Linked DNA regions of Rhinolophus ferrumequinum. The protein of the gene in region 1 interacts with the protein of each later gene in a pairwise test. Links are inferred from orthologs where the notes say so. Each region holds a gene or a part of one and is shown on either strand. Other genes may lie near its edges.

Region 1 (7,741 bases):
TCTCCACTCCTGTGCCTGCCGAAGTGGAAAGGTTAAGACGGCGGCCCAGGGGTAAGGAGCGGGCCCTTGAGAGCTGGGCCAGGACCGTGTGGCAGGGTGAGTGGAGGGCAAAGAAGGAGGCCCCACACATTCTCCAGGTTTACTGACCCCTGCCCCTTCTCTTGAACCCCCAAGGCAGGCAGGGACACAGATGGTGCCTGCCGAGGTGGCACCAGCTGCCATAGCAGCCAAGCCCTGCCCAGCTCCCTCACTACATACGCTTATCCCATGTGCCCAGACCTGGGAGCAGAGGGAGAATGGGGACCTTTGGGGTCAGGCTGCATCTCACCTTTCACCTCCATAACCCCTCAAATGAACCAACTACAAAAAAGCCACAACTCCATTCCTCGGGCTGGGGCTGCAGGGTTCCTACCAGAGGGAGTGAGAAGCCTAGGATGCTGGGCGGGAGGCACACGCCCGGGAGGCGGTCTGGGTCTGGGCTCCAGATTCTCGGTTCCCCTCCAGCTCTTTACTGGGGCTGCTATAGTTCCCAGACTGAGAACGCCACTCACTCCACGTATCATATGGGGGCGGGGGGGGGGGGGTTGGGGTAGCCCCAGGCAGCCAGCAGGGATCCTGACAAGCATCCAAACACTTGGGAGCTGCCTGCTCTGTACCAGACACCATGCTAGGTGCTGGAGTGGGGCGATGAGTAAGACTTTGTCAGCACCCTGCCTACCTCGCCATCCTCACCTTCTCACCAGCTGCCTCTTCCTGACCTGTATCCTGGATCAGGGGAAAAGGAGGTACGCAGGGCACAAATGCCTCTGTGGGAAGGACTGGGACAGAGCTGGGCAGTCCAATAGATCAGATGCACACCACTCCTCCCGGAGCCCAGGGGCTGTAGCCAGTCAAATGACATGGAGAAAGGACAATTGCCATGTTGATGCTGTCCTGTGGCCCTCAAGCCCAGAATCAGGACCACAGATTTAGAGCTAGGAAGGTCCTTAAAAACCATTTCTACTCCAACTTCTTTGCTTCACAGTTGAGGAAACTGAGGCCCAAGAGTGAGGAAAGTCTTGCCATGGGTCACAGAGTAAGAAGGAAATAAAGGCACCACTAAAATCCAGGCTCCCGATAGGATGTCTGCTCAGAGTACCCCTGCCCATCCCAGTTGCCCACCCCACCATGCTACACCCACCCAGCAGAGGTGTAGAATAGCCTGGGACACATATGTAGAAGGCAAGCTTTCCTTTGAGTCCCTCCATCCCCAGACCTGCCTGTGCTTGGGGCAAAGGGGATCATAGTCTCCAGCTAATTAAGGGTGAGGACACATACCCCCCAGATAGCTTCCTCAGAGCTCTCTAGATCATGGCGCGCTCTGAGAGGAGGTCCCGGGGTCACGACCACCCCCAGAGCACTCTGCCTCTGCCAGGTACCCACAGTTCCTACCTACTCTAGCTTGGAGCCATAGAACCACCAGGGCATCTGTGGATCTCAACCTGTTGTGGTCCTGGGCCTGTCCACAGTGTGGCTGGAAGTTATGGGCCCATAAGATAGCACCCCACACTCTCCCACTTAGTGTGCCCACAGTCCCCGAGAGTTCACAGACCCCCCGAGCCTGCCCAAAAGCCTCCCGGGCAGACAGCTCCTTTTCTAACGAGAGGATGGACAAAGGCCAGGGCGTCCTTCCCCAGGCCAGCTGCTGAGGCCCATCACTGGCAGCGTCCTCCCACATCAGAAGGGAGCAGCCTCTCGGGTCACTGCTCCTCACTTCCTCAGCAGGTCAGGGGGGTTTCACATCAGCCTGGACCTGACTCTGCTGGGAGGGAGAAGGGAAAGACCACAGTAAATACGGCCAGGAAGCCAACGGAATCCTGGGATGGAGGCACCCTTCCGCACTGCTTCCTACCCATTTCTGGCCAGACTGGGCTAGAGGACCAGGATGGGTCTGTGCCCAAGCTGGGGCAATACCAAGCCACCTTCCCAAGCAGGCCTTCCTGGGGCACAGGAAAAGCCAAGTCTAGTTGCTCCCAGTCACCCAGTGACCTGGGGATGCCTCGGTGGAAGATGCCCAGGCTCATTCTGGTCCTGAACATCAGGCCCTGCAAGGAGCCCCAGCCTTGGGAGGCAGGGGCAGGGAGTTCTAGGAGTAGCCACCCCCTCATCTGCTCGCTAGGAAACAGTATCCAAGCCCCCACCCCCACCCCCGCCCATCTGCCCAGCTCTCTGCCCCTTGCCCTCCGCCACCCCAGTGGGCCAGCAGACCATGCGAGCAGCAGGTGCAAGACGCGGGGGTGGCACTGAGATGACACAAAACCACACTCGCCCCCACCTCCTAAACCCTGCCGGCCTCCGCCACAGCTCTCCTGCCACCCCAGGCTGGCGCTTCCGTTTGGATATCGAGATGGGGGGGGAGCAGCTAGCTGCCCGCCTCCCTCAGACTGAGGGGTGGGAGGCGGCGCCGGGAATGTCCTTCCTCGCTTGTCCGCGGACGCAAGGGAACAGGGGGCCCCCAGGCCGGCCCTCCTGCCAAGGACGCGGCTCCGCAGTGGCCCGGGAGGGGGCCGAGGCCGGAGGCGGGAGGCCGCAGCCCCCAGCCCCACCCCGCCCTCCGGCCCCGCACGGCGCTCCCGCCAGGCCCCGGCGCCCGCCGGGCGGCGGCCTCCGTACGCGGTCCCGCCCCCGGCCAGGCCCTGCTTACCCGGGGCGCTGCAGTCGGCACACACCTCCGCTCGCGGCCCCTTCCGGGACATCCTCAGCGGCGACGCGGCCGCAGCCCTCTGGGCCAGCGTGGGGGGCGCGGGCGGCGGGCCCGGGCGGCGGCGGCCCCTGTTGCCCGGCCCGGCTCCAGCAAGGCCCCGGCTAGGCTCCGCGCGCCCGGCCAACCGACAGCCCTCGGGGCTGGCCCGGAACCCGCCGTGCCCGCCTGCCCGCTCGCCCTCGGGCGCCCTCCGCCCCGCGCCGCCCCGCGCCGCCCCGCCGCCGCTCGCCTCTCGCTCTCTCCGCCCCTTGCGCGGCTCCCGGCCGCTCCTGCAGGAAACGGCGCAGGCCCTGCCCACCGGGGGAGGGGCAGGCCGCACACCCGCCCCGCCGACCGGCCCTGCGGGCCGCGCCTCCCAGAGAAAGGAAGCCGGGAGCGCGGGCGGGAGGGGGCGGGAGCGCTTAAAGGGACCGCGGCCGCCGCGGGGTTGGAGCGGGCAGAGTCGCCTGCGGCCCTGGCCCCAGCTCTGGCGCTCCTTTGCCCCGGAGGTAGTGTGAGTCTCCCTCACAGCCCTTTCACTTTCGAGATGGGGGGTGGACTGGGAGGTCGGGCGCTGGGACCGCGGCCCCTGGAAATCAGGGAAGAGAGGAAGGAGCTGGAACTTCAGGCCCCCCTCCTCGTCAAGGGGCTGTGGTTTGGGGTACCCGCTTATCTTTGGTTGGGGTAAGGTGTGCGTCCTGGTCTCGCATGTGCCCACATCTGCGTGTCCAGGTGTGTGTGTGGTCACACCCTTGCTGACTATGCACACCGCCAACAATATGGTCGCCCAGGTGCCAGAGAGGTCACGCAGTGTATCGCTGTATCTCTGGCCTTTCTCAATGCTTCCATCCAGAGAGGAAAGAATCTGGGCGGTTTTTAAAGACCTCCGGAGGAGTGACCACTGTGCCTGTGTGCAGTAATATCCACTTGTCATCCGTCTTGTATACATGTATAGTGTTTCTGGGCCACCAGAGTGTGTGTCCATGGCATGTGTGTGTAACATACAGGGACTTTTTCTTGTAGCAGCCTTTCTTCCTGGACTTCACACAGAGACTCGGCGGGGTGGTGGTGGGGGACAGGGAGCAGAGGCGCATGCCGCACGTGGGTGCACCCCGGCACTGAGCATGCTCCCCCATACACGTGTGCCCCGCGTGCACCCAGCCCCCATCCCTGCAGCAGCAAAAGGCCAGAGCACTCTGCTTGTGGGGAGGGGGGAGGGCAGGGGTTCCCAGGGCCAGGCCTGGGGACCAGATCAGTGGTGACACGATTAAGGGAGAGTTCCCAAGCGGCAGGGAATCCTGCTCTGTAACCGGGGTGGGAGTGGGGTGAGGGGTGGGGGGAGTCCTTGGGCAAGGGTGCCGGAGTTGGTCGATTTCATCCCGGCGGTGCCAGAGCAGCAGTGACTTGTGGGTGTACTGGCTGCTTCCCTGGGGTAGACAAGTAATGCTCATGAGTCACATCACCCAAAATACATGCAAAGCTGCCTCCATCGCCTTTCGCTGCAGCCGAGATTGACAAGTTTGTCTGAAATCGCGATCCACGGGATATATTTATAATCACACCTTTAAAAAAATATTGTATGCCTCCCCTCCCCCCACAGCCAGCCGCTGGCTGGCAGGGCTTCTGCCAGCAAGGATACCTCGCGGAGTATGGGTGGGGGTGGGCAACACCTGCCTCCCAGTGCTGCACCCGTACGGAGGAGTCAGTCCATAGGCTTGGTGGCCCCAGATTCGGCAAAGGGGGGAGTGGCCTGGCCGCCCATACCCGGCGCCCAGCCCACCAGCGGTGGACGCCGGTTTACCCGATCGACCCCCAGCTATGGAAGTTCATTTATTAAATGTCGAGGCGGCTGCTGGAAGCCCCATCGCTTGGCCGTCTTTGTTTCTCTGCTGTGTGGGCGCGTCTAGAGCACGTGGCAGCTGGAGCGCGCAGGCCCGAGGAAAAGCGACCTGGGTTTAGAGTGTATGTATGGCTGCCTGGCAAAAAGAGAGCCGGCTGCCCAGGGGAGGGGATAGGCCCCCCAATCCAGGTTGAGTTCCCTCCTTCCTTGAGCTCCAAAACTTCAGGGGAAAAAGGATGATTCACCCTGTCCCACATAGTCCCGGACCCATCTGGTTGGCCCAGGACTACCTGGGAGTGGCCCAGGCACAGATCCACTCTCCAAACTTTGTTCCGGAAACCCCCCGCCCCGCCACAGCCGAACTTCTGGGCCTGGGGCTAGGGATAAAAGGGTTTCAGGATTTCCCTTTGGAGATGTCGTCACCTCAGGAAGCAGGACAGTTAAAGAGAAATCACACACAACGTTCTAAAAACAATTTAATAAGGAAATGTACAGGCATTCCACCGGCCACTCCTAGCCGTCCCTCCCCAGCTCCAGCCCCCTCCCCAATTCCAGCTTCAGCCACGACACTTTGCTGACCCCTCGTGGTCGAGGTGGGCAGCGGTCCCCGGCTGCCAGAGACGCCGGCTGGCTCCTCCCAGGCTGGGGAAAGGGGCGAGGCAGTCCACTCCTTCCTCATCCTTCCCCGCCCCGGCCTGGCACTGCAGGGTGTGGAGGAGGAAGGAGAGAAGACCACACAAAGGAACCTGAGAAAGGCGCGGAGAGTTTGCAAGCTTTTGCTAGCACCTCCCACACAAACACTTCTTAGATTGTTCTAAGTAGGGCTGGTGTGGAATTCCTTATTCCTGTCTTGTTCTAAGATGGGCTCGAGAAGGCACTACGTTTGTATGCCTGGTCCCCAACACCTGTCAGTCCGCCTGGTTAGGGGAGGGATGCGCAGTTTCCAGGGCAGTTACTATCCTTAACTCACCCCAGGAGGAAGTCTCATTTTAGAGGTGAGTGGTCTGAGAAACCAGAAAATAGAAGCAGTTTGCTTAAGGTCAGGCAATTAGTAAGAAAGAATTCGAACGCAGGTCTCTCTAACATCTCAGCCCCTCCTCCCTCCAGGGATTGGGCCAAGCCTCTAGGTCCTTCCCACCCTCGCAATAGGGCGGCCCTTGCAATAGGCGTCCGCAGAGATAACATCCACTTTTACCAGAGAGTCTTCAGGGACCCTTCTGGAAGGACCTCTCTACCCTGGGGTTATCCAGGAAGCAGTCGGTCTCTGGAATCAGTCACTTCCTCTCTTGAGGGGATCACACAAGGTGGAGATGGGGAGCTGCCACCTGCTGCTTTCTCTGCCCAACCCCACTCTGGTCCATGCAGAGGACAGTGTATGGAGCAGGGGCACTGTCCTCCCAGACTTAGTGGACATTCTCTTTCCAATGTCAAGTGTGGGAAATGGAGTTTAATTTTATAAGAGGGCACGGAAGACTCCTATATAATTATTCAGGTGCCAGACCCCTGATTGCTCCAATAACCCCTGGTACTAATCTCCCTCACCTTTCTCAGGAGTCCCACATAATTCTCTTTTTTGGGGGGAATCTAGATCCCTCACGATCCACTGGGACCCAAACTCGATCTCGAAGGCCACACCTTTCCGCGCCCCCCAATGCTGAGGCGAGGCCTGTAGTCCCCTCCCACTCCATGAACAGGCAAAAGGCAAAATGCCAGCGGTGGGGTTGCGCCCCAGCCCACCTGGCATTAGGACGCTGCCTCCGTTTCGGCCATGCCTGATTCCCTCCCCACGCTTTCATGGGATGAGGGGGACAGTGCGGGACCCTTTCCGGCCACTCGCCACCCCCAGTTCTACGAGGTGGACTACAAGCCCCATGATGCCGCGGGGCCGAGCTATAACAAGCTCTGCCCGGGGCACCCGGGTCCCCTTCCTCTCTCCCCTGCACCCCCGCATCCCTGGCCGGCCGCTCGGGCTGAGGGCCGGGCTATGCGGCTGCGAGGAGCCGGGGGCTGCGGGCGCGCGTCCCTGCGGCGGCGGCCGCGTCCCCGGGGCCCGCACCCCGTGCGCCCCCGCGCCCGCTGCGGGAGCCTGCTCCCTCTGTGGAGCCGCGTCTTTGTGTGCGGGGGTGTGAGAGGCGAGGAGCGAGTAGGAGCCGCGTCGCCGAGTGCCCGCTCCCTCCCGGGGCGGGTGGGGGCCTCTCCACGCCGCCCGCCGTCGCCGCCGCCGCCTCGCGAGGACGCCGGCCACCCGCACCGCGCCGGGCACGCCGCCCCCGCCCGCCGGCGCCGCTCGCACATGCCTGAGCCGCAACCCTGCGAGCAGGCAGCGCCGGCCCCCCACCCCGCGGCCCCGGGCCCCGTCTTCGGCGCCTTGCCTCCTCCCGGGCCGGGCGCCGTGGCCCCGGCATGAGGAGCGGGCGATGATACCCGCTAACGCCTCCGTCAAGAAGGGGCCCGAGGGCAAGTACCCGCTGCACTACCTCGTGTGGCACAACCGCCACCGCGAGCTGGAGAAAGAGGTCCGCGCCGGCCAGGTAAGAGCGCCGTCCGGCGCCGCGGGGACCCCACGGCCGGGCACGCCCGCCCAGCGTGGGGAGAGGGCGCGGCGCGGGCTGTCCCGCCTCCCCGGCGAGTTTGCAGCGCTTCTTTGTTCGAACCGCGGCTTTTGTGCTTGTGGACCGGGAGAGGGTGATGGGAGCGGCCCTCGCCGGGCTCCTCTCCAGCGGGGACCGGCGGCCCACACGTGTCCCGGATCCTCTCAGATTGGAGTAGGGGATCCTGTGCCCCTTCCCCGCCGGGTCGTGAGGGCTGCGGGGGAGGGACTGCCGGCTAGGTCTGTGTTCCATGTGGTGGGAGAGTCCGCCCCACTCTGGAGCAGCGACACCTCCCGCGTGAGTGTGCGGAGGTAGGCAAAGCCTGCGTGGGGGGGGTCACAAGTCCAGGATCAGAGAATAGGCTGTGTGACACCCCCAGGCATCTCAGCCCCACCCATTGCCCTCAACCCTCAAGGCGAGTGCTTAATCTGTTTGCTTAGACTGGGCAGAGCCCCTGGATCCCTCAGACCCCAGAGCCGGCTCAGGACTGGGGAGTGGACAAAGAGAGACCCTCTTGGGGAAGCCCCAGAGCCTTGTCCAGGTGCTGAAAGGCGCTCTCCTGCCCTCTGGTGCTGGGGCCTGGCTTCT
Region 2 (7,190 bases), on another chromosome or scaffold:
TTTACTTTATAAGAACTCAACTCTGCTGATTGGCAAAAAAAGAATAAAGGCCTGTAAAGCAAACCAGCTATTTCATCTGACACCTGACTACAAAATTATACTGCACTAAGCACTCTTCAAAATCATGGAATACGTTATGTGTTTATGTAACTGATATATAAGGTCTACTAACTACATCTGGACTTAACATTTTGTTCAGTTATAAACCTAAGCCCATATACCACGCTTCATGGAGATTTAGGGGTTCTCACTTTCCCTACTGCCTGTAGGATCTAATCCCCCTGACATGCTGCACCCCTGCCCTGGGTCCCCAGAGGCTCCTCTGCTCCAGGTTAATTATTTTTGGCTACAAAGAGGCCCTGCTTCGTTGAACCCAGGGGATCAGAAGCCAGAACTCTTCAATTCCATCCAACAGTTACTTACCGAGGAGGCTCCCGTGAATCCAGTACTGACCTAGGAATGGTTATGGATACAGGCTCGGCCCTCGAGAAGCGCGGCCTCCTGGAGAGAACACAGACACACAGTGATGGCTGGAGAGCCACACAGAGAACAGCACTGACCACATACCCAGCATCTGGCCCAGCCTGGGGCGGCCTGAGCACCACTAGGATTTTCTCCTCAGCTCTCAGAATGAAGCAGCCCCGGCCAAGACCTGTCGGACCCTGCTCCGGGCTGGAACTGACCTCACCTGGGGGGCAGAAGACACTGGGGGGGCCAGGCCAGGCCAGGCTCAGGCTCTGCTGGGCCCTGCAGCTAGACCCCCAGCTCACAGCTCCTCCCCCACGACAGTCTCAGTTCCCAGAGACCTCTCCGTGCAGCCTGGCAGCATGGCCCCTCCAAGTACTTCCACTCTGATGGTCACCCAGAGGGCTGCGTTCCTGTGAGCCAGCACCGTATGCCTTTCAGAGCTAATTATAGGTCAGTGAGACAGCAGGCCAGGGGGGGCACAGACGGTGACTTCCTGTGGCTGCAGTACACTCCCGTCCCCCCTCCCTCCCAATCCTCCACCTGGGACCTGGACTCGGAGGCTGCTGTCACCGCCTTGGTCCTCCCGACTCCACATCAACTCGTTCTCTCCAGCACACACTACACACAACTCCATACCACACCATGTTTCTATAGCAACCCATCCAATGGCCCAAAGCCCCGGGGGAGTGTCCCGGGCATAAGAAGCCTCAGCTAGCCCCCCGCCCGTACCCTAAAGCCCTCTGGTCCCCAGCTCCCTGGCCCTGAGCTGAGTCTTCAGCCTGCCTCCTCATCCTCTCCCTGAGCTCTCACCCCATTATCCTCCACGGCTCCAAAAGGACCACAGCAATCCCTGACAACTCTTTCCAACTCTAAGATTTCAGCAATCAACTCAGGGACGACACCCAGGAGCCTGGCTGCCTGCCCACCCTGCCCCTCCAATCCTTCCTCGGTACCCAGCTGCAAGGCCACACACACGCCCAGGCTGACACCACGACATGCTCACCGAGTGAGATTGCCCTTCCACACTGAGCCCCCACACTCTTCTGCCTTCCAGAGATGGGGTCCCTGCTGTGCCAGGTGTCTAGTGCCTTCTTGGCCCCCAGTAACCACTGTGCTAGTCACCATCTCATTATGTTGAGACCCCCTTTATCCCAGGCAGCGTCCTAGGACTCAGGACAAAGTCCTAGAAAAGAGCCAACGGAAATAATCCCAACTGTTCCTTTGGGATGACCTGGGTTGTTAATAGTTGTAGGGGGTGGGTAGGCTGGAATTCAGTTCAGACCGTTCCATCTTTTTGTAATCCAACAGCAATGTAACAAAATGGGGGGAGGGGTGTTAACAGAGCGCCTACTGTGTGACTGTGTGTACCTCTCAACTGCCCCACAGCTCTAAATTGCCTTCAGAAGACCCAGTACCTAACACGCGTCTGGCATATAGCAGGTGCCCAGTAAATGTTTGCTGCGTGGAACACCTCTGGAAAGACAGGGGATCCCTGAAAGCTGGCTCCTGGAGGGCGGCCTTACGCCCCCAGCAGGAGGGGACCCGCACGCCAAGCACACCCTCCTTGGTAACCACTTGCTCACCCGAACAGCAAAGCAGCAGCCCAACTCCCCTGCCCCTCAGACGGACACCTCCAGCATGACGTCAGCACCTAGTGGCACCTTGTCCTCCCCCCTCCTCCTCCTTCTCCAAGAAAAGCACCCACATCGCATTTCCAAGTCCTCCAAACCAACCTCTCTTCCCACCGGCCGTCAGAAGCTGCAGGATCCACACTGGAAAACATACTACGTGGTGGGAACTCGGCTCCCCACTCTCACCCTACCAGTTCAGGGATCTCTCTTTCTCCCCCTTTTCCAGTTGCGACCCCCCTCGCCCCCACCTCAGCAGACTGCGGAGACGGGCGCCTCTGGCACAGCCTGCGTCTCGCAGCCGGAGGATGGAGAGCTGGCGACATTAAGGGGTGCTGTGAGCGACGCGGGAAAGACGAAGACCCCCCCCCCACCCCGGGGGAACGCGAAGTCCTCAGCACCGCTTGCGCCTCCCGGCGGAGCTGCCCCCGGAGCCCAGGGGCTCTTCTTCTCTGACTCTCCTAGGGGGGTGGAGGTGCAGTCCGTCTCTGGTTTCCTCCAGGAAACCTGCCGCTCAGGCCCCCCTCTGAGGCTGATGGATGAGCGCGAACTCCACGCCCCCCACCCCGCCCCCCGCAAATCGGACATCGCCTCTACGCTCACCCCAAGGGCACAGGACTGCAAAGTCCGGAGAGAAGCGGCACAGAGGCAGCATCTATGCCTGTGGAGGGAAAAGGGGCTGCTGCCCAAGGCGCGCCAGAGACCCCTCCCCGAACTGTGCAGAAGCTGGAGCTGGGAAGAGAGCCATCCTTCTCCATCCTGGGCTCTGCACGCTCACCTGCCTGCAGTTCTCCAAGACAGGGCAGCTCCTCGGAGGCCGCAGCAGCCAAGGAGCCGCCTTGACCTGACGCCCCACACGCCCGACACCCAGCAGCTGCAGCCTCGGGGGCACGAACCCCGCCTCCTCACTCGAGGCCACGCCCCCGCCCGGGGTACGCCCCGTCCCTCACGTGACCAGAGGCCGCCGCAGCCGCCTAGCACAGAGCCTCGCCCCCTCCGCGCTCTGGCCCACCCCCAGAGGCGGGGCCTGCCACCTCCCTCCAGGCCGCGCCCCGCCCAGCCCACGTGACCTGAGAGGGCTGTGAGGCTGCGCGCTCGGCCTGGAGCTTCCCTCCAGGTGGCGCAGCATACAGGGCCATCCCTTTGAATCACCCAGGTCCATAAATTGGTCTCCGTACTGGCCTTGTTGCCAGCGATTTGTCACCTTTCACACCTGCTCCCTCACGCCCATTTCTTGATTTTCCTTTGGTCACACCCATTTTTAAGTGGAGAAACTTGAAATCCATATACATTTCCATAGCGTGCGCTTAAATGAATTGTGTCGCTGTGCTGACACTGTAAAACGACATGTCGGTCTGTTATACACACATTCTGTGAAGACACTGTCCACACCAAAATTCCTGGCACATTTTAGCTCAGTTTCCCCATTTCCCTGACTTGCTCCTTCCCCTGTGCCGTGGCTATATACGCATCTTTGCCGTCTGGTTTGGGAAGTTTCATCACCGTGCCCAATCAGGCCTTCAGGGAACCCACGCACACTCTAGAAGCGGAGGGATTTCATACACGTGCTGTGTGTGTACATCCATAGGCACACACACGCCTAACCAGCAACAAATGCTGTAGTTGAAATCAGTGGCACAAACAACCTTTCATTTATTTTCTTTCCTTCAATATATTCACCATTTGGCTTAGTTTCCTTGTATGTTTGGTAGAAGAAAGGACAATTTGAGTAATTTTGATTTACTTGGGGGGTAAGAAATGAAGCTAAATTTATGTTATTTTGTCTGACCCTCGGAGTAAAATCAAAGTATAGATTTAAGGAAGTAAAAATTACAAAACAGATTTTACAAAAGTAGTCCAGCAAGTTCCAACTCTTCTCCAGGTGGTGTGGGGTGAGGTGGGGGGGGTCTCATCAAAAGGAAATCCCTGAGACACTTCCTGTGCTTTCACTAATAAACCATGAATCATCCTAGAAGAGGTGACTCAGCTAATGAAGAGGGGAGGCTGAGGCCATGAAGGTTACTGGTAACACACCTGACCAAATATCCGTCAACCTTATGCTAAGACAGCAGCTGAGGCCGTACCTAATATTATGTCTTTCATCGTACCATGGAGTTTGACACAAAAACTCAGGTGAGTCAGAACACAATTATTAAGCCAAACCTATTTCACTCCCCCTTTGAAGGGAACTCCTAAATTGGGGCCATGCCCACTCTGCTCCAAGAAACCTTTAGTTCAGGGAACTAGGGTTTCCTCCTGCCTCAGAGGCAACTTCTGATTGCAGATATTTGCAAGGTGCTTACTGTCCTTGGGTCTTGTTTGACCATTTAAATGCCCAGATTCTGTATGTCACTGACCCAGGCTCCCACCCTCAGCATGAGGTAAGGTTAGCTGTTAACAAAAGTGTTAAGCAGATGTTCCCTGAGACTACTCCTTAAATAGCAGGGCGTAGGGAGGATGGCAAGGAAACAACACACCAATTTAGCAGTATGGTAACAACTGCCCCCACAAGATGTTCATGTTTAAAGAATATCGCCTTAATGCCCACCTCATGGCAATATCCTGGCAAAATCCAGCTCACTGGCTAAGTTGCGGTGGGAGAAAGCAGCAAAAACCAGACAAAGCAACACAACACACCCATGAGGCTCTTCTGAGTGGACCAGCTACAGCAAGTCCTCTGACCAACAGGACAATAGTGTTTCTGCAGGGACGACACGGGATGATGGGCTGTGCAGGGCGGGGCAAGTGGCAAAGTGCATAGAGCTCACGAGGCTGGTTTCAACATGGGGTGCCTTTTTTAATGACCTTCAGTGTAACAAATGTCTTTCTTACAATTCAGTAAAAATACCACTATCTTTTCTGCAGTATGTTCTTGGTTCGTTTTACACCTTACTTAGAAACATATTTAAAAGATTCTCATCAATCTTATGCACCTTTCCGGCTCATTAGGGATAAGGCATACCACAATCAGGTTTTTACTCACCTTTTACTTTTTATCTACATGCACTCTGCCCACCCCCCGTCACCACCTACCACAAGAAAAATGAGACTGACCTTTCTAACTGTGGCACAGCAGAGACCCGGGCCAGAGTCCTAGCTGTCGCTCACTGGCCGGTAGACCTTGGGTAAGTCACTGATTCAAGATGAGGACAGTGGTACCCACCTTGCAGGGTTGTGAACATCAGAGCTATCGTCTCAAGTTCCTTGGACTGTACCAAGCACAGAAAGTCACTATCATCACTGCTCTCATAAAAACACCTAAAATCCAAAACTGGCAAAAGAATTTTTACGCGATAAACTTCCAAAAATTGTTTTTGAAGAAAGATACACAAGCCAATCTTGTAAGACTGTGAAAACCCTGTCACCTGCTTTATTTCTGGAGAAGGGTAAGGGGGAAATATTCACGTGAATTTGAGGGGCAGCTAAACTGAAGTAACAGTAGCAACAATCCAGGCCTCTCAGGTTCCTCTGAGCCAAAGGCGCCGCTGAAGCTTCCTGGTTTGGAGATTCCAGAGTTTAATTTTCCCCTAGAGCAAAGTCATCCATTTTCACTGGGATAAAAGAATAAAGACCACAAACTCAATAGCACCAAAGGGGGTTTAACGCAGAAAATAGAGCCAGGTTTCTTCAAATGAAATTTTTACATTAAAATATGTTCAGAAATCATAGTTGCTTTTCCTCGTGATTCCACCTCCTCCTTCCCCTAACAGGAGCCCCAGGAAGCCGAGAGCATGTGCGTCCCTAAGCAGACCTCCAGTGCGGCCGCCCCTCCCACGCTGGACTGACCCCTCAGGACGGAGGCAGAGCTAGGCTCTCAGGGAGAAGGGGTACTGCGGGTGCCACCAGTCAAAGAGCCGCACGCTGTGCACGGGGTCCAGGATCACTTGCACGCCCTGCTCACTGCGCAGCTTCCGACCGCCATGGACAGGGACGTCCTGGAACAGCAGTCCCACGCGATGGTGCCGCATGTCCGTGCTCACGCTGATGGTGAACTGGGGGGAAAGCAAATCCGGAACCCAGATCAAACAATCTGTTTTCCTACCGGCTCACTCTGAAGTGACACAGTTGGGACAGAATATACACGGCTAGGCCCTGACACCTTTGCAAAAGTATAAAAAATAAGGGTGATTGTACAAGTTCTCCTTAGCTTCTTCAGTTGAACTATGCTAAAGAGCACCTCCCAGGTGGCTGAGTAAGTTAGCGTACCTGCACAGACTAGCCCCAAAGCTCATTTTAAAAAATTGGGTTAGAGCTGAAAGGGCTGACATGAAGGGATTCTGATGAGACACTATGGAGCGAGTCAGGCAACATGCAGGAAACATATACCTGGTCCCACGTTTTGGAAAATACACCAAGTCTCTGTGTACATGTGGTCAGTACAGAGCTGTGTGAACGCACAGCACACAGGGTACGGGCAGTGTAGGACCAAGCCACTAGCATGGCCTGGCCTGGGGCGGTGGTGGGGAGGAGCAGGGGGTGCTGATAAAAGGACCGTGTATGACGGGATCTCAATTATATAGGATCACCTAAGGGAGTGGGTGCGCACACGTCCACGGCGCACAAAGGGACACAAAGAATAGTTCCTGAAGGGTTAATCTCAGTTTTAGGTTACTGCAAATCTAAGTCGCCTTGTCTCAATGTATTTATGCATTATCTAAATTTTTTACATGAAGTATGTATTATCTACTTTACCATTAAAAAAAGAGTAACGCCATTTTCAATGTGGAGGGGAGCCCCATGTACCTCTGAAACGAGCCTAAAGTACAAAGATAAATCACATGGACTCTCCAGTTGCCAACGTAGTTAGAAATGTTAAAAACCTAAAAGAGAAGCCAAAGGCATATTTCTTGTTTACTAACCTAATTCTTAGCTGAGCCTGGAAGGGTCAGAGCCCCAGGACACAGCGGGCCACCCTGGTTTAACATTGCCTCTGTGATACCACACGCACACATGGGGGCCCCGACACACAGAGCTCACGAACAGCCCACCATTATCCCAGGGTCGTGTCTCTCAAACATGATGCTCACTACGCAGGAGGTGCAAAAGCGTTCTCTTTACTGTAGAGAAGAAAGCAGGTGAAATACTCTCAGGCGT
Region 3 (7,215 bases), on another chromosome or scaffold:
TTCTGGTCAGTGGTGCCAGTGCCAGGGGGCTGTGTGAAGTAGGTGGGCAGATTGGCAGCCTGGGCAAAAGTCTTGTCTTTTGAAACCTTACCCACTCTGTGGTCCCCTGAGACCTGAATGGAGAGATTTAGCTACTGACTGGTTCCTTTCTGTGGGACTTCTGTATCTGACAAAGGACCTCCTACAAAGCACTTGCCAGTTCACCCAGCCCAGTGACATGTACTAATGATAACAGTGGGAACCCTTTTCGGGGTTCCTCCTATGTGTCAGAGCACAGGTTAAGCCCCACATTATCTCATGTGAAACCTCAAAGCAACCCCTCCTTCAATCAGTTTAATTCAAGTGTGTGTGTGTGTGTGTGTGTGTGTGTGTGTGTGTGTGTGTGTGTGTGTTTGGGGCAGGGAGCAGTACAGTGTGTACTTCCCATTAGTCCTTTCTTAAAATTCATTAGTTTTCATTTGATTTTGAGAGCCAAGTAATGTATAATGCATTTATGCATTCTTATAAAAAATTTAAATGGTACTATAAATGAAAATTCCACAAGCCTCTTTCTAAGGGATAAAAAGAGAGTTTTATTCTGATACGATTTGCAAATCAGAGAATGTAGACTTCAGCATGAACTGAAGACACAGTCTAGGGTGGGAAGAATAAGGCAAGGGATTTAAAGGTGAGAGTTGTGAGGAGTTGCTGATCAAAGGGATGGGGTGCTGGGGAAACAAAACCATAAACTTACATCATTCATTTTTTGATTGGTGTGGGAAACTGGATTTTCAGAGGTCTGCTGAAGCACACGGGAAGACAAAAACCATGGGTAGTTTCGATTGACTCAAGGCCAGCAGGTACAGTTACGGATATGACCAACAGTTGGAGTCATAAGACACGGTCATCAGGGGAGGGGTGGGTCACAAAGCAGCGGCCAATGCCTTAGTTTCCTTTGGAGTCTGCAAAATAAAATATTAAAACAAGTTTTGTAGTGAAATGGACAATGCAAAGAATGCAGTTCATCAGGTAGACAGAGTCAGAGTTTAAACTGCAAAATGGCCTAGTCAGTCGAGCAGGGTCAGAGATCAAGTTGCAGAAGTGTCCAGATATTTGGCTACAAAATTATGATATTAGAATCCTTAGTACAGATAAAGCACAAGTAACCCTGGACCTCCTATCATTCTCGTGTGTAAACCTTCCCTGCTTTGGGATGCATTTGCATACCTAAACATGAACATGAAGAAAGATAACATTTTGTAGTTATAAAAATGAAAGGAGTCATACTGAATATTTTTCCCCAAATTTTATGATGAAAATTTGTAAACCTACAGAAGTGTTGAAACAACTGTGTAGTGAACACCCATATACTTACCACCTGGATTCTTCAATTCTTAACATTTTGCTATTCTTGCTTTATCAGATATCCATTTATCCCATCAACTGTCTTATTTTATTTATTTATTTATTTATTTTTTAAACTTACGAACTGTTTATTTCTGGAATTTTCCACTTAATATTTTCAGACCACAGTTGTTGACCACAGGTAACTGAAACTGCGGAAAGCAAAACCACAGATAAGCGGGGGGCGGGGGGGCAAAAGGGGAGAGGGATTTCTGTATTCAAGGACATGCCTTTAGTAATTCTTCCTTCTCTCTTCTCCAACATTAATCTTCCCCTCTCTACTGGATCCAGCGATTCTGGATCATTCCAATCATCATACAAGCAGGCCAGGATTTCTCTCCATTAAAAAAAAAACAAAACTCTCTCTTGACCTCACTTCCCTTCCAGCTCTTGTTCCATTCCTTTGCTCCTTTATAGCAAAACTCGTGAGCTAGTCACACTGTTTGCAATTCCTTTCCTCAATTTCTTCTTGAATCCATTCCAATCAGGCTTTCTGTCCCATCGCTCCACTCTGAACTGGTTTTCTCAAGCTCACCTGTGACTTCCACATTTTCAAATATAATAGTCACCTCTCACGCCTCATGTTATTTGACACATCAGTAACATTTGGCTCAGCAGATGACTCCTGAGACCCTTTCTTTACTTGGCTTCCAGAACAACACATTCACCTCTCCCTCTTTTCTTATTTTATTGACCACCTTTTCTCATGTCCTTTATTGGCTAACTGTCTTATTTTTTTAATGCACTTCAAGTAAATTGCAGATATCAGTACCCTTCACCCCTAAAAACTTGAGCACACATATTATTTAGGGTTCAATATATTTTTTTTAAATTTAGAAATTATATACCGGGGGTGCCAAAAAAAATGTATACACATGACTTGTATTCTTCTTTTGTTATTGGTATATATTGAGCATTACAGTTTTAATACAGTTATTTCCTTCTTAAAATGTGTATACATTTTTTTGGCACCCTCTGTTTTTTGGTATTTTCCTACAATTTGCTTTCCGTCTTTTACATAATGTCCTCCTACAAGTGGTGTCTACCCTTCCTTTTTAATGGGACACAACTCTATTGAATGGATGTGCCCTTGTCAATCCCTATTCCATCCTCTTTGGGTGGACATTTATGTTATTTCAAGGTTTTCACCAAAATGGAGTATCCTGGTACGTGTTGCAGTGACATTCCTTGCTTGTGCCTCTTTGGGTTCTTGCGAGTGTTTTTCTAGCATAGCTACCCAGAAGTGGAAGTGTTGGATCAAAGAGGATGCCCATTGTAAATTTTAACAGATCTTGCCAAATTGTCCCTCCTTCCAAGCCATGTGAATAAAAAGGGCTTCCTTGGCAAGCCTGACAAGCTCAATAACTGAAAGTAATTACACAAGATGTTTTGATCATAAAAAAAATACCTAACTGCTATATCAAACTAAAAAATTTTTGCACAGCAAAGGAAACCATCAACAAAACAAAAAGACAACCTACTGATTGGGAGAAGGTATTCGCCAATGATACATCCTATAAAGGGTTAATATCAGAAATTTATAAAGAATTCATACAACTTAACACCAAAAAAACACACACACAAACAATCCAATTAAAAAATGGGCAGAGGAACTGAACAGATATTTCATCCCAAGAGGACACACAGATGGCCAATGGACATATGCAAAGATGCACAACATCACTCATATCAGAGAAATGCAAATTAAAACCACAATGAGCTAGCACCTCACACCTGTCAGAAGGGCTATCATCATTAGATCAACAAACAAGCATTGGCAAGGATGTGCAGAAAAAAGAACCCTCATGCATGGGGTAGGATTCCAAATTGGTGAAGCCACTATGGACAACAGTATGGAGATTCCTCAAAAAATTAAAAATAGAGCTACCTTATGACACTGCAATTCCACTTCTGAGTATTTATCCGAAGAAATCCAAAACACTAATTTAAAAAGATATATCCACCCCTATGTTCATTGGTGGGTTGGCAGAGAAGCAGACGGCGGATTACAGATCATGTGGATCCCACTTCCTGTGTCTCCAACCCAGCCGCCAGCAAGAATATAGTGGTATGATCCCCCTATCCATAGCTCCCTTGGTGTTCCTTTTTGGCCTCACCATATCCTGCGTTCTTATGTGGGGAACGGGAGCCGAGACACCGCATGACACCCTGCATGACAGTACCTCTGTAAACTATGGATGTTAAACGTTCATTATCCTGCACCCACCAATGTAAAAGAAACATGTATCTCCATTTTACCTTTTATCCAGTCCCATAAATTTTCCCGCTTTACTTTCTCCCATCTCCTTAATCTGCCACCAATGGATTTCACGTAGTAACCTTTCTTAGGTTTTCTCCTTTGAGTCTAACGTACAAAATAAACTGCAAAACTGCTATTCCTCAGAGCATTATCTCAACCCTTTGCGAGTTTGCTTCAGGGACTAGCTCCAAAACTTTGCCTCTAATAAACTCTTTAAACCTTTCTTTAGGTTTGGAATTTCTTTTGTGGACACCCAATAACTCCCAGAAACACCACAGATTTCCCACAGTTTTGCCAACACAGGCATTACCAGTCATTTAATCTGTAGCCAGTCCGATGGTTAAGGAAATGACGAGAAGCCAGTATGGCTGGAACAGAAAGGGCAGGTGGAGCCCTGCAGGAGATGAACCTGAAGAGGTGGTGACATTGGGCAAGAAAGGCGCGTAGCCCAGAGGCGTCCTCAGAAACATCCGCTCTTATCATTGCCAACATTCGGATGCACCCCGACGTAACTCGCAGACTTCGGCCTCTGGAGAGGAGCCACGTGCCCGCTGCAGAGGCGTGTCCTCCGCAGGCCCCGCCTCCGCTGCGTGGGCACGTCGGACCGCCCTCGCGCCCTCCTGCTCGCCTAGCTGCAGCGGTGGCGCCTGAGAGTCACAGCTTGACGGGCGGACGCAGTACGGACGGCCGGCCGAACTGACCCGCGGCTGGTGAGTGGCCCCCGCCATCCCGGGGCTTCCCTCAGGCTCCTCGGCGGGCCTTGAGCGGCCTGGGCCTTCCGGAGCTAGCTTTCGCCGGCCGCAGCCCGCTGCGCCCCCGGCGCCGGCCTCTGGGAGACCCGGCGGGCCCGGGCGGGGGGCGGCGGAAGTGGGGTGAGCGGGGAGGGGGTTGGGCGTGGGGGAACCCCGCTTCGTAGACGAAATTTTCCAGGGCGGGGGAGACCCTTCAGGCCCATTGGCGTTGGGCCCCGTTGGGTACCCCCCTCCCGGCGTCGTGACTGCGCTGGGTGAGGTGACCCCGAGGTCGCAGCCGGTGACCTGGCGTTCTCGGCGGACGTTGTAGCTTCTGACGGCTCAGCTGACACGTCTGTCCATCTTGGGCCTGCGAGAACTCGGGCTGCCCAGCGCCGGAGATGGGTACCCGGCGTGGCGGCTTGTGCTGGGCCGTGGCTCTGCCTTTCCTCCTCCTGACTCACCTTAGTCAGAGGGGCCCTTTTAGTCACTCTGATGACTTCATGAGTGACCCGCGGCCACCATGGTGCAGGTCGGATTGGGAGGGATCAACGCCAGGGGCAGCCGGTCAGTCTGGGCGGGGAGTTTACCTGTCACCTCATCAGCACAGTGGTCTGGGTCTGTTAATGTCCCGGTAGGAGCTGCCATGACCGCCTTGCACAGTCTTTGCACGAGGCTTGTCTGCCATGCCATTTAAATTGGTTCTGATGAACGTGTTGTGGCCTGTGGCCGTCATCGTTATTGTGTTGTTTACGGCTCTATGAACCAGACGAGGGGAGCATGATTTAAAAAAAAAAAATCGTATAGTCCTCTACCGTTCAGGAAGCCCTCTCGCTCTCAGCCCCTTTCAAAACCCTGTGATAGTTTTCCCGTTTGTCAGTGGGGTTAGTGATGAGACGGGGGTTAAGTGAAATGATCTGCACCCCACAACCAGGAAGGTGGCACAGTTGGTCTTGAACTTGGTCGTCTCTGACCAGATGGGATGCTCTTTCCTAAACAGAGTTGTAGAATTTGGAGATGGATTATGTGATTTAAACTGTCTTTCCCACCCCTCTAAACTGTAGAAAGAAACAAGAGCTTACTGATTTTGTGTACGTATATGAGATTCTGGTATGGCTTTTACCAGTGTGTTTTGATTAAAATTTTAACTCCCATATTTTAGTTTTTCTTCTGGGAGGAGGGGGATTACACATTAGTAAATCTGTGCTTTATTCATTAGTTTTTTTTTCAAGAAACATCGCAAGACAAAACGTCACAAGCTTACCAGGAGCTCACAGCTTAATTGGGCATTTACAAGCTTACTTGGTGAAATTGGAAAAAGTTTTCAAACACAGTGCCTAAGCCAGAACACTGGTGAGAAGTGGGAATTTGAGGGGCCTTGGAAACACACACTGTTTAAGTGACCTCATCGAACTGGGGATGTGAAGAAGAAAACCTGTGATTCCCTCATTGTCTGACTTGATTTGATTGTTCCCTTATTCTCACTGTTCAATGACGTGATGTTAAGGAGAGTTCTTTTTTTCAAATTGTATGCTTGAGTATCTCACCCTGTGTAAAGCCTACAGATACACTGACTTTTTGTGCTTCAAAATGGTTGAATTGCTAAGTACAAAATTAAGCTAATCGATCAATTTGTAACCATTTTTTCACTCACAAACGGTTATTCCACACTAGACAATTTTGTTTCACATGTATGTGTATGTATCCAAATACATATATATTCATTTACATTAGAGTGAAAAACAAATAGTTTGCTTCTTCCAAAAAAGGAAGTTGTGGTGGTATATTTTTGACCATAGGAAAAACATTGAAACCCTTTGAGTTGTAGTTTCTGCATCTGAAAAATTAGGTTAGCACTAGATGAGACTTAAAGTCTTTGGTGCCTTGAGTGCTGCTTATTGATATGAGACAGGTTCCCAAACATTTCTGTTTCGCTAAGTTTGGGATTGGGCCTAGAAATCTGTGTTTTTACAGTTTCCCATGTGATTCTTGTTTGGAGCACTGTTGTCTAATGTACAGGCTGTACAGGGAGAGAATGGACTGGCAAGAGGGTAGAGGAGTATGATACATGAGGAAAGGGAGAGCAGAAGGGAAAGAAAGGGGTGATTGTTACATGGCAATAACTGCTGTCAGCTTAAACGCCAGAGGCCAACAAAGAAGATACTCTCTTCTCTCTGTTTAGGGGAAAAAATTAATTTTTTCACACGAATAGATTTGTTTCCTTCCCAGGAGTATCAGAGGCCTAATTATTGTTATAGTTCTCAGTAACTTTATCAGGGCTTTGGAGAAGAATGGAGTAACAGAGACAGGTGTCTTGCACTCCACCTGCCTATTTCTAAATACTCCCAGCTTCCTGCCTTTCTCCTGATGAGTTATCTCAGTCTCAGAAAACTCAAGTTTCACTGTGTTGTATTCAATCTCAAAATCGCTTGAAGGCTGTGGAAGGCACTAACATGAGTAAACAATCTGCCATCATGCTTTTTTCTAAGCCAGTTGGCTGGCCTGCCTCATCAGTCACTGTGATGATAATATTTTTTATGCCAAGCACTCGTACCCATAGTTTGAGCAGACAGGTAACACTGAAGGACTTGATTGCTGGGACAGGATATTTGAATCAGAACTGTCCTGGAAAATCTGGAACACAAGGCTGTATCTTCAGCACTGTTGTCTATGTTGCACAAAATTATATTTCTACTGTGGTACATACACCTATTGTGTTGTTTCTCTCTCTCTCTCTCTCTCTCTCTCTCTCTCTCGATTGAAAGCTACTTGAAGCTACATGGTCTTATGCCTTACTGTAGTCACAGAGCCCATAAACAATATAAATATTTGTTGATGAGA
Region 4 (7,336 bases), on another chromosome or scaffold:
GGGCAGTAGTACCGGCCCCTGAAAAGCAGACAACGAAGGGGGATTTGGGGCTCATCCCGTGTTCTCAACGATGCCTATGAAACGTCAAAGTAGAGCTGTACAGTGCACAGCTGGGCTCCAGCTATCTGTCTGGTCTGGGATATGCCAGCAAATATGGCCTGCAAGCCACAGGAGGCTTAAGCCACCTGGGAAAGCCGATTCAATAAAGCACAAGCCCTGTACGGCCACGTGGAGCAGCCAATATTCAGAGGTCGTTCACTGAGGCTCCATCCAGGCTTCTCGCCAGGATCCTTAGGGCTAGCAGCTCTCTGCTTCTAAGAACAAAGCCTGGCCGGCTGGGGGGCCACACTGGCTCCCTGAGGATACTTGCCCAGGAATGAAGGCAACACAGACCAAGCACCACAGCTGGGCTGAGCGCCTGGGCCCAGCAGTGCCAGACACCTGCATCATCTGTACTTGGTCTAACACAGGCAATTAGCACACACGCTCATTCATCAATTTTTACAACAAAACAGTTTTATTAGGGCAATATGACACAAAGGAATAAAGCACTACCCCATTTGACAGGACGGCCTTTCATAAGTGAGCACCAAAGTGCAATTATGCAGCTTCCCCTCACCCTCAGCCACTTAATCTAACCCTGAAAACTAAGTAAGACGTTCTTTCCACCACACACTGCCACTCACTTCAGTTTGCTGTAGAAATCTCTCTAGATGGACCTTCCTCTCGGGCGGGAGGAACCATTCACCTGAAATCCTACTAATAGGGTCTTGTGCTTGTATGACACTACTTAATACACTGGTCTCACATCTGCCCACCATCCATGGAACCACATTCACCGACCAGCCGGGGAGAGGCCAATCCCACATCCGTCCAACGGAGCATTCCTGGAAATGCTCCGCACGGGGGACAAAGCCCCACACCACCTGGGGAAGGGGACTGTACCAGGATGGAGAGAGAGGCTAAAAGAAATTGAACTTAAACTCTTCATCAGGAGTGTCCAGGGTTGCTTTGGCTCCCCCTGCTAGGCGAGGCCTGCAAACCCTCCGGCTCTTCTTTCTGGTGGCCTCACCTACAGGCTGCACCTGGGCTGAGTGTGCTGCTGTGGGGGAGGGGAGCGTGTCAGAACTGAGTGATAACAGCTCATGTTAACTATGCCCCTACGACGGTAACCTCTTTGTATAAATTCACTGACCTACTTCTCAAAATTATAAGGCAGGTATTATCACACCTCACTTAACATCACAGAGAAATTCACTAACTCTCCTATCCCTCCCTCCTTGGCACAGGCCCGAGTTCTGTGCTCCTGAGGTGCAGGCTTTCTCTCCCTGCTCCCCCAGGCTTTCCTGAGCCGGTCTCCTTCCCTCACCGGCCCTGTAGCTCTGGGAGTCTTCCTTTAACTGCCTCACCTCTTCCTCCCTACCCCCTTGAACTACGCAGCCCTGAATTAACCAGTTCCCAGCTCCTCACCAGTCCTGAGAGCCCGCAGGACCTCGCGCCACTCGGCTTCCATCTTAGTCCTGTAGTCCCCAAACAAGGAGCGCATCAGCTGCCTCTTCCGGGGCAGGGGTGTTCTTTCGCTGCGCAGGGCTCGGATTGCCCCAATAGCTTGCTCCCCTGCCGACAAAAACAAAGGACTAGGGACCTCCTCTATCCTCATTTCCAACGCAAAACCACCTATTCCAACCCTTGGCGGCACTGGCAGGACACAGCACTGTCACCGTTCACCTTCCCCCAACTCTACAGAAGGGTTCCTCACTCTGTTTTGGGCTGGGTCTCTGCGTCTTGAGGCCCAGTTCCAACTGCTCCACGCACCAGGCCAGTTCTCGAGCCAGCTGCTCCGCCTGTGATGGGTTGGGGACAGTGGCTGAGAGGGTACTAGGACACTGCGGCCTCCACCCTCATCGCAAGGGACCCAAAAACCCCCATCCCATCCCTCTGCCGTAACTCCGCAAATCCGAGACCACAACCGCTTGGAGGACTCGCACCTAGAATGCACCCGGGGACCCCACCCTTCCCGACTGAGCACTGCCCTTGCCTGGGCCTCTGCGCTTAGAGGAGCTTCCTCCGGGGCATGCTTTTCTGAGGCCTTTCCGTCTCCATTCGACACGGAGGCCCCGTTCCGGGTTTTCTTCTTCTTCTTCGGCTTCTTAGAAGCTGCGCCGCCTTCACCGACTACGGGATGCGCCCTGGAGGCGGCGTCACTGCACGTGGGGTGCCCTGAGCAGAGACGGACCGGATGAGACCTTAGAGTGGAAGGACTCGGGGCGCCGGACGGCGGCCGGGAGGCCCGGGGGCTGCGCGGCGCGCGGGCGGTACCTGGACCTGGTGCCGCCGCTGTCTCCCAAGCAGGGTGTCCTAGGGCCTGGAGAGAGGGAGGCAACAAGAAGGTCACGGGGTACAGCCCAGGCCCGGAGGCCCAGCCACCCGCGCCCCCACTCTGCTCCGCTCACCGCCATGCCCCGCGGCCGCACCGGAACTCATGCGGGTCCCAGGCCTAGTTCGCTCCTCCAGAAGCGCGTCCGCGTCGCAGCGTTCCGCCGGCGCGGTGGGCGGGGCCGAGCGGCTGCGGGGCGGGACGGGACGCGGGAGGGCGCAAAGGAGACCCCCGAGCAGGTGTACCACGTGGCAGGCCGCGCCCTGGAGGAAAGGGCAGCGCCCGAAACGAGGGCGCGGGCTCCCAAAGCTCACCTCCCAGTGGAGCGAGACAGGCAGGTGAAGACACGTGAAAAGTTGTCACGCAGCCCCGCGCAGCGCTGTGAACACAGGCGGTGAGTCGGCATCCCTCCGGGGCAAGCACTACCAGAGTGATAAGCTTAATGATAAATACCATGGAATCTAAAGGGAGGTTTGAATAAAGGGAGAGACAGTCTGCATTACTGTATTGGAAGATTTCATATTGTAAAACCACTGATTTTCCTCAAGCTAAGCCTATATATAATCCTTACCAAAATCACAGTAAGACGGCCTGGCACTTTTAAAAAAGGACTTCCCGAGGCAACAGATGGCAGGCCTGGTGGGGCTGGTCCCCGGCGAGAAGGAGGTGGGGGCAGGGCCCTGGGTGCTTTTATTCCGAGCGAGGTGGCGGGCGCAGTGAACTAACGCAGCCTCCCACTGTCTCTGCAGAGTCGGTGCTCGGGACACAGGCGCACAGAGAGCTTTGGGTGTTGGCCCAGCGTCACTGCTGGCCAGGACTGACCTGGGATGGTCCCTGGCAAACTGGCCGGACTCCCCATGCCCTTTTCTTCCTTTTTAGAAACACTCTATTAAGGTATGGTTAGCGAGAATGTTCTGTACACATCGAAAGTGTACAGTTCGGTCGCATTCTCACACGTGCATGCTCATGAGACATTGTCCACTGCAATCAAGATAGAAACGGTTACCCATAAGTTTTCTCGTGTCTCTTTTTTTTTTTTTTTGAAATTCTTGCACTTTTTACTATTAGAGAGTTCTAAGACATTACAAAAGTATTTTTCTTTTTAACCCACATAAGAATTATAATATGCAGAAGAGATGAGAGATTTTTCTTATACAGGCACATAACTGTGCCTCAAACTGTAATTGCTTTTAAATTTATGTTATTATCGCTCTAAAAAGAAAACAAGAAGAGAATCCTGTGAAACTCATAAGACATCCCAGGTGCTTTCAAATGATTCCATTTCACACAGGAACTTCTAAGCAAGCACACTATCGTGTGTGGGTGGGTATCATTTATTCACTCCTCTTCTTCATCTTGTAGACCGGGTGAAGTTAGCTAGAGAAGATCTCGGGAAGAGCACTCATGAATGGAGAAGCATATAGCTGAGTCTATGCATTTTTCTTTTCATTGTCAAATTAGCTGGTCTCTGTACATTGATAAGAAGACTCATCATAAAAATAAAAAATACAAAAAAGAATTGTTGAGATCTCATTTGTTTGCCACACGGAAGTGGTGCAATAGCTCTCAAAGTAAACCACACTTCTTTGAACAGTCTTGTGCAAAAGCTGTGTGGCTCTTCTCACATTCTAATGACAAACCTCAGAGAACTGCCAGCTGTGTTTTCTACAAAGGTTAATCTCCTGCCTCTTTATAATCCCTCCCTCTCACCCCTTCCCTCTTCTGTCCTGAAGCAAGTACTGACCTGCTTTCTATCACTGTAGATTACATCTTGTAGTTTCATCTCACCGGAATTACAGCGTGTGGATTCTTTTTTGTCTGGCTTTTTTTGATTCGACACAATTATTTTCAGATTCATCCGCGTTGGGTGTCGATAATTCTTTTTTTTTTTTTTTAATTCTGATTAGTATTCTGTTGTATGAATGAATATACCACTATTTGTTTATCCATTCTTTGATTGACATCTGGATAGCTATCAGTTTTTAATTGACACAAATAAAGCTGCTGTGAACATCTGTGTACAAATCTTTGGATAACCATACGTTTCCTTTTTTCTTGGATAAATAACTAGGAGTGGAATGGCTGGATTATATGGTAGGTGCATATTCACCTTTTTAGAGCAAGGCCTGATTGTTTGCCACAGTGCTTTTGCCATTTCACGTTCCACGTCCTCACAAACACTTGGGGTGGTCAGTCCTTTTCATTTTAGCTGCTCTGGTAGAGGGGCAGTCGCATCTGTTGTGGTTTTGATTTGAATTTCCCAAACAAGGAGATGTTAAAATTCTTTTCATGTGCTGATTTTCCTTCTTTCTCTTCATTGGTGAAGAGTCTGTGCAGATCTCTGCTGATTCTTTAGCTGGGTTTTTGTTTTCTGACTGAGTTTTAAGGAGTTCCTTTCTGAATACAGGAATGTTCTAGATACAGGTCTTTTGTCAGGTACATGTTTGTGTAGATTTTCTCCCACTCTGTGCTTTGTCTTTTTATTCTCTCAACAGTGTCTTTTGAAGAGAAGACGTTTTAATTTTTTTCCAAACAGTTTTATTTATTTAAGTGTGTATTTCAAGGACCCGTCAGCTCCAAGTCAAGTAGTTGTTTCAGTCAAGTTGTGGAGGGTGCAGCTCACAGTGGCCCATGTGGGAATCAAACCAGCAACCTTGTTGTTAAGAGCACCACGCTCTAACCAACTGAGCAAGTCGACTGCCCCGACGTTTTAATATTCGATCAAGGCCAGTTTATCAGTTTGTTCTTTTATGGATTGTGCTTTTGGTGTCCTATCTAGGAAACCTTTGCCTAACTCAGAAGATTTTCTTCTTCTAGAAGAAAATTTTATAATTTAAAAGTTTTAGGTGATATGTTTAAGTCTGCAATTCGTAATGAGTTGACTTTTGTATCTAATGTAAAGCATGGATTCAAGTTTAATTTTTTTACAGGTGGATGTCTGGTTGTTCCAACACAATTTCTTAAAAAGACTATCGTTTCTCCACTTGCCTTGTCTTTGTGCTTTTGTCAAAAATCAGTTGTCCATCTCTGCGTGGGTTTATTTCTGGACTCTGTTCTGTTCCATTGGTACACTGTGGACAATGTCTTTAACTCCACATTGTTTTGACTACTGAGACTTTATTAAAACTCTTAAAATCAGGCAGTATTAGGCCTCCCTCCAACTTTATTCTATACCCTTAGAGTAATTTTGGCTACTGTAGGTCCTTTGCATTTCCATATGAATTTTAAACTCAGCTTGTTGGTTTCTGTGTGGCCACATAATGGAACTCTCACCAGTGCAATGTGAGTGGAACCATGTGGCCAGGCCAGAGCCTCCACTCGGAGTCTGACGACAGACATGTCCGTGAGACTAGTGTCAGACACACTGCTCCAGAGGACAGCAGAGAACAGGACAGAAAATCAGCCTCCGAACAAGCAAGTCAAACAGAACCCACCAAACAGGGACCCTGCCACATGAGGAAAACAAACTTCTATCTCATCAAGCCCATGCATTTGGGGTCTATGACACACATGGGGAAAACCCTACGAATGTTATGAATGTGGAAAATCATTTAGCCTGAACTGAAGCCTTACTGTTCATCAGAGAATTCACAGTGGAGAGAAACCCTATAGGTGTAATGAATGTGGAAAAGCCTTTAATCGGCGCCCACAAGTTATTGAACATAAGAGGATTCACACTGGAGAGAAACCTTATGTCTGCAGTGACTGTGGAAAGTCATTCAGTGCTTGTCTATCCCTTATTCAGCATCAGAGAATCCATACTGGAGAAAAACCTTATGGATGTCATGAGTGGAAAAACCTTCCATCAACAAGGACATCTTATTCAGCATCAGCGAAATCACACTGGAGAGAAGCCCTATGAGTGTAAGGAGTGTGGAAAGGCTCTCAGCCATAGTTTTAATCTTATTCTCCATCGAAAAACACACAATGGTGAGAAGCCCTATCAATGTAACGAGTATGAATAAGCCTTCAGCGTGCTCTCGTCCCTTGTCCAGCATCAGAGGGTACATAATGGAGAGAAGCCCAATGAGTGTCATAAATGTGGGAAGGCCTTTAGTCAGGGCTCACACCTAATTCACATCAGAAGACTAACACTGGTGAAAAGCCCTATGAGTGTCGTGAGTGTGGGGAAACCTTTGGACAGATCTCTACCCAAATTAAGCATGAGAGAACACAATGGAGAGAAGCCCTATGGATGCAGTGACTGTGGGAAAGCCTTCAGCCAGAGTGCACACCTCATCCACCATCAAAGAATTCACACCAGTGAGAAACCTTATGAGTGCAGTGACTATGGGAAGGCCTTCAGTCAGCATTCACAGTGTATTCAGTACCAGAGGATTCACACTGGAGAGAAGCCCTATGAATGCACTGCATGTGGGAAAGCCTTCCGACAGAGTTCTTACCTTATTCAACATCAGAGAATTCACAGTGGAGAGCCACCTTATCGTTTCAGTCAGAGAATAACTGTTATTAGTCATGAGAAAATTTTTACCATCAACCTTGGAGAGCAAGTCTACAGGTGTGAGAAGTGTGGGGAGCTCTAGTGCACAGGCAGCTATCACTCAGCCTCACAGAGCCCACAGTGAAGTGTAACTGCTCTGTGACTTTCTCATGCTGAGGAGAAAACATCACTTTATGAGTTTCCTTTGGGAGATTCCACTCTTACAGATTGGACTGGCTCCCAGTGAGCTGCTGGCTGAAGGCAGGCTGCCTGCTCACTTACATGCAAAAAACTCCAAGGTGACACACCTTTCCCAGACCCAGAGGCTGGCCCTCTGCTCAAGTATTTCAAACAAGTGCAATTCAAATACGTGTATTTAGGTCTTTTTTTTTTTTTTAAAGATTTTATTGGGGGAAGGGGAACAGGACTTTATTGGGGAACAGTGTGCACTTCCAGGACTTTTTTCCAAGTCAAGTTGTTGTCCTTTCAATCTTAGTTGTGGAGGGTGCCGTTCAGCT

Evidence for each region.
Region 2: the proteins of GIT1 (region 1) and PPFIA4 interact in a two-hybrid assay, tested with the Homo sapiens proteins (2 studies listed by BioGRID). The link is inferred for Rhinolophus ferrumequinum from reciprocal best matches to the Homo sapiens genes GIT1 and PPFIA4.
Region 3: the proteins of GIT1 (region 1) and HMOX2 interact in a two-hybrid assay, tested with the Homo sapiens proteins (2 studies listed by BioGRID and IntAct). The link is inferred for Rhinolophus ferrumequinum from reciprocal best matches to the Homo sapiens genes GIT1 and HMOX2.
Region 4: the proteins of GIT1 (region 1) and C14H8orf33 interact in a two-hybrid assay, tested with the Homo sapiens proteins (2 studies listed by BioGRID and IntAct). The link is inferred for Rhinolophus ferrumequinum from reciprocal best matches to the Homo sapiens genes GIT1 and C8orf33.

The regions. Positions count from the first base shown.
Region 1 is NC_046304.1:18,058,026-18,065,766, reverse strand, and holds the start of GIT1 (ARF GTPase-activating protein GIT1), read right to left. Parts: upstream 3,009-7,741; 5' UTR 2,736-3,008; coding exon 2,684-2,735; intron 1-2,683. Other genes in the region: ANKRD13B (ankyrin repeat domain-containing protein 13B), read left to right, coding at 6,980-7,093. UniProt on the Homo sapiens protein: GTPase-activating protein for ADP ribosylation factor family members, including ARF1.
Region 2 is NC_046310.1:121,600-128,789, forward strand, and holds the start of PPFIA4 (liprin-alpha-4), read right to left. Parts: upstream 3,015-7,190; 5' UTR 2,875-3,014; intron 848-2,874; exon of another isoform or gene 689-847; intron 502-688; 5' UTR 424-501; intron 1-423. Other genes in the region: TMEM183A (transmembrane protein 183A), read right to left, coding at 5,903-6,088. UniProt on the Homo sapiens protein: May regulate the disassembly of focal adhesions. May localize receptor-like tyrosine phosphatases type 2A at specific sites on the plasma membrane, possibly regulating their interaction with the extracellular environment and their association with substrates.
Region 3 is NW_022680357.1:5,677,018-5,684,232, forward strand, and holds the start of HMOX2 (heme oxygenase 2), read left to right. Parts: upstream 1-4,212; 5' UTR 4,213-4,353; intron 4,354-7,215.
Region 4 is NC_046297.1:73,370,526-73,377,861, reverse strand, and holds C14H8orf33 (UPF0488 protein C8orf33 homolog), read right to left. Parts: upstream 2,460-7,336; coding exon 2,454-2,459; intron 2,366-2,453; coding exon 2,320-2,365; intron 2,221-2,319; coding exon 2,039-2,220; intron 1,845-2,038; coding exon 1,760-1,844; intron 1,618-1,759; coding exon 1,471-1,617; intron 1,103-1,470; coding exon 963-1,102; 3' UTR 505-962; downstream 1-504. Other genes in the region: ZNF16 (zinc finger protein 16), read left to right, coding at 2,458-2,771.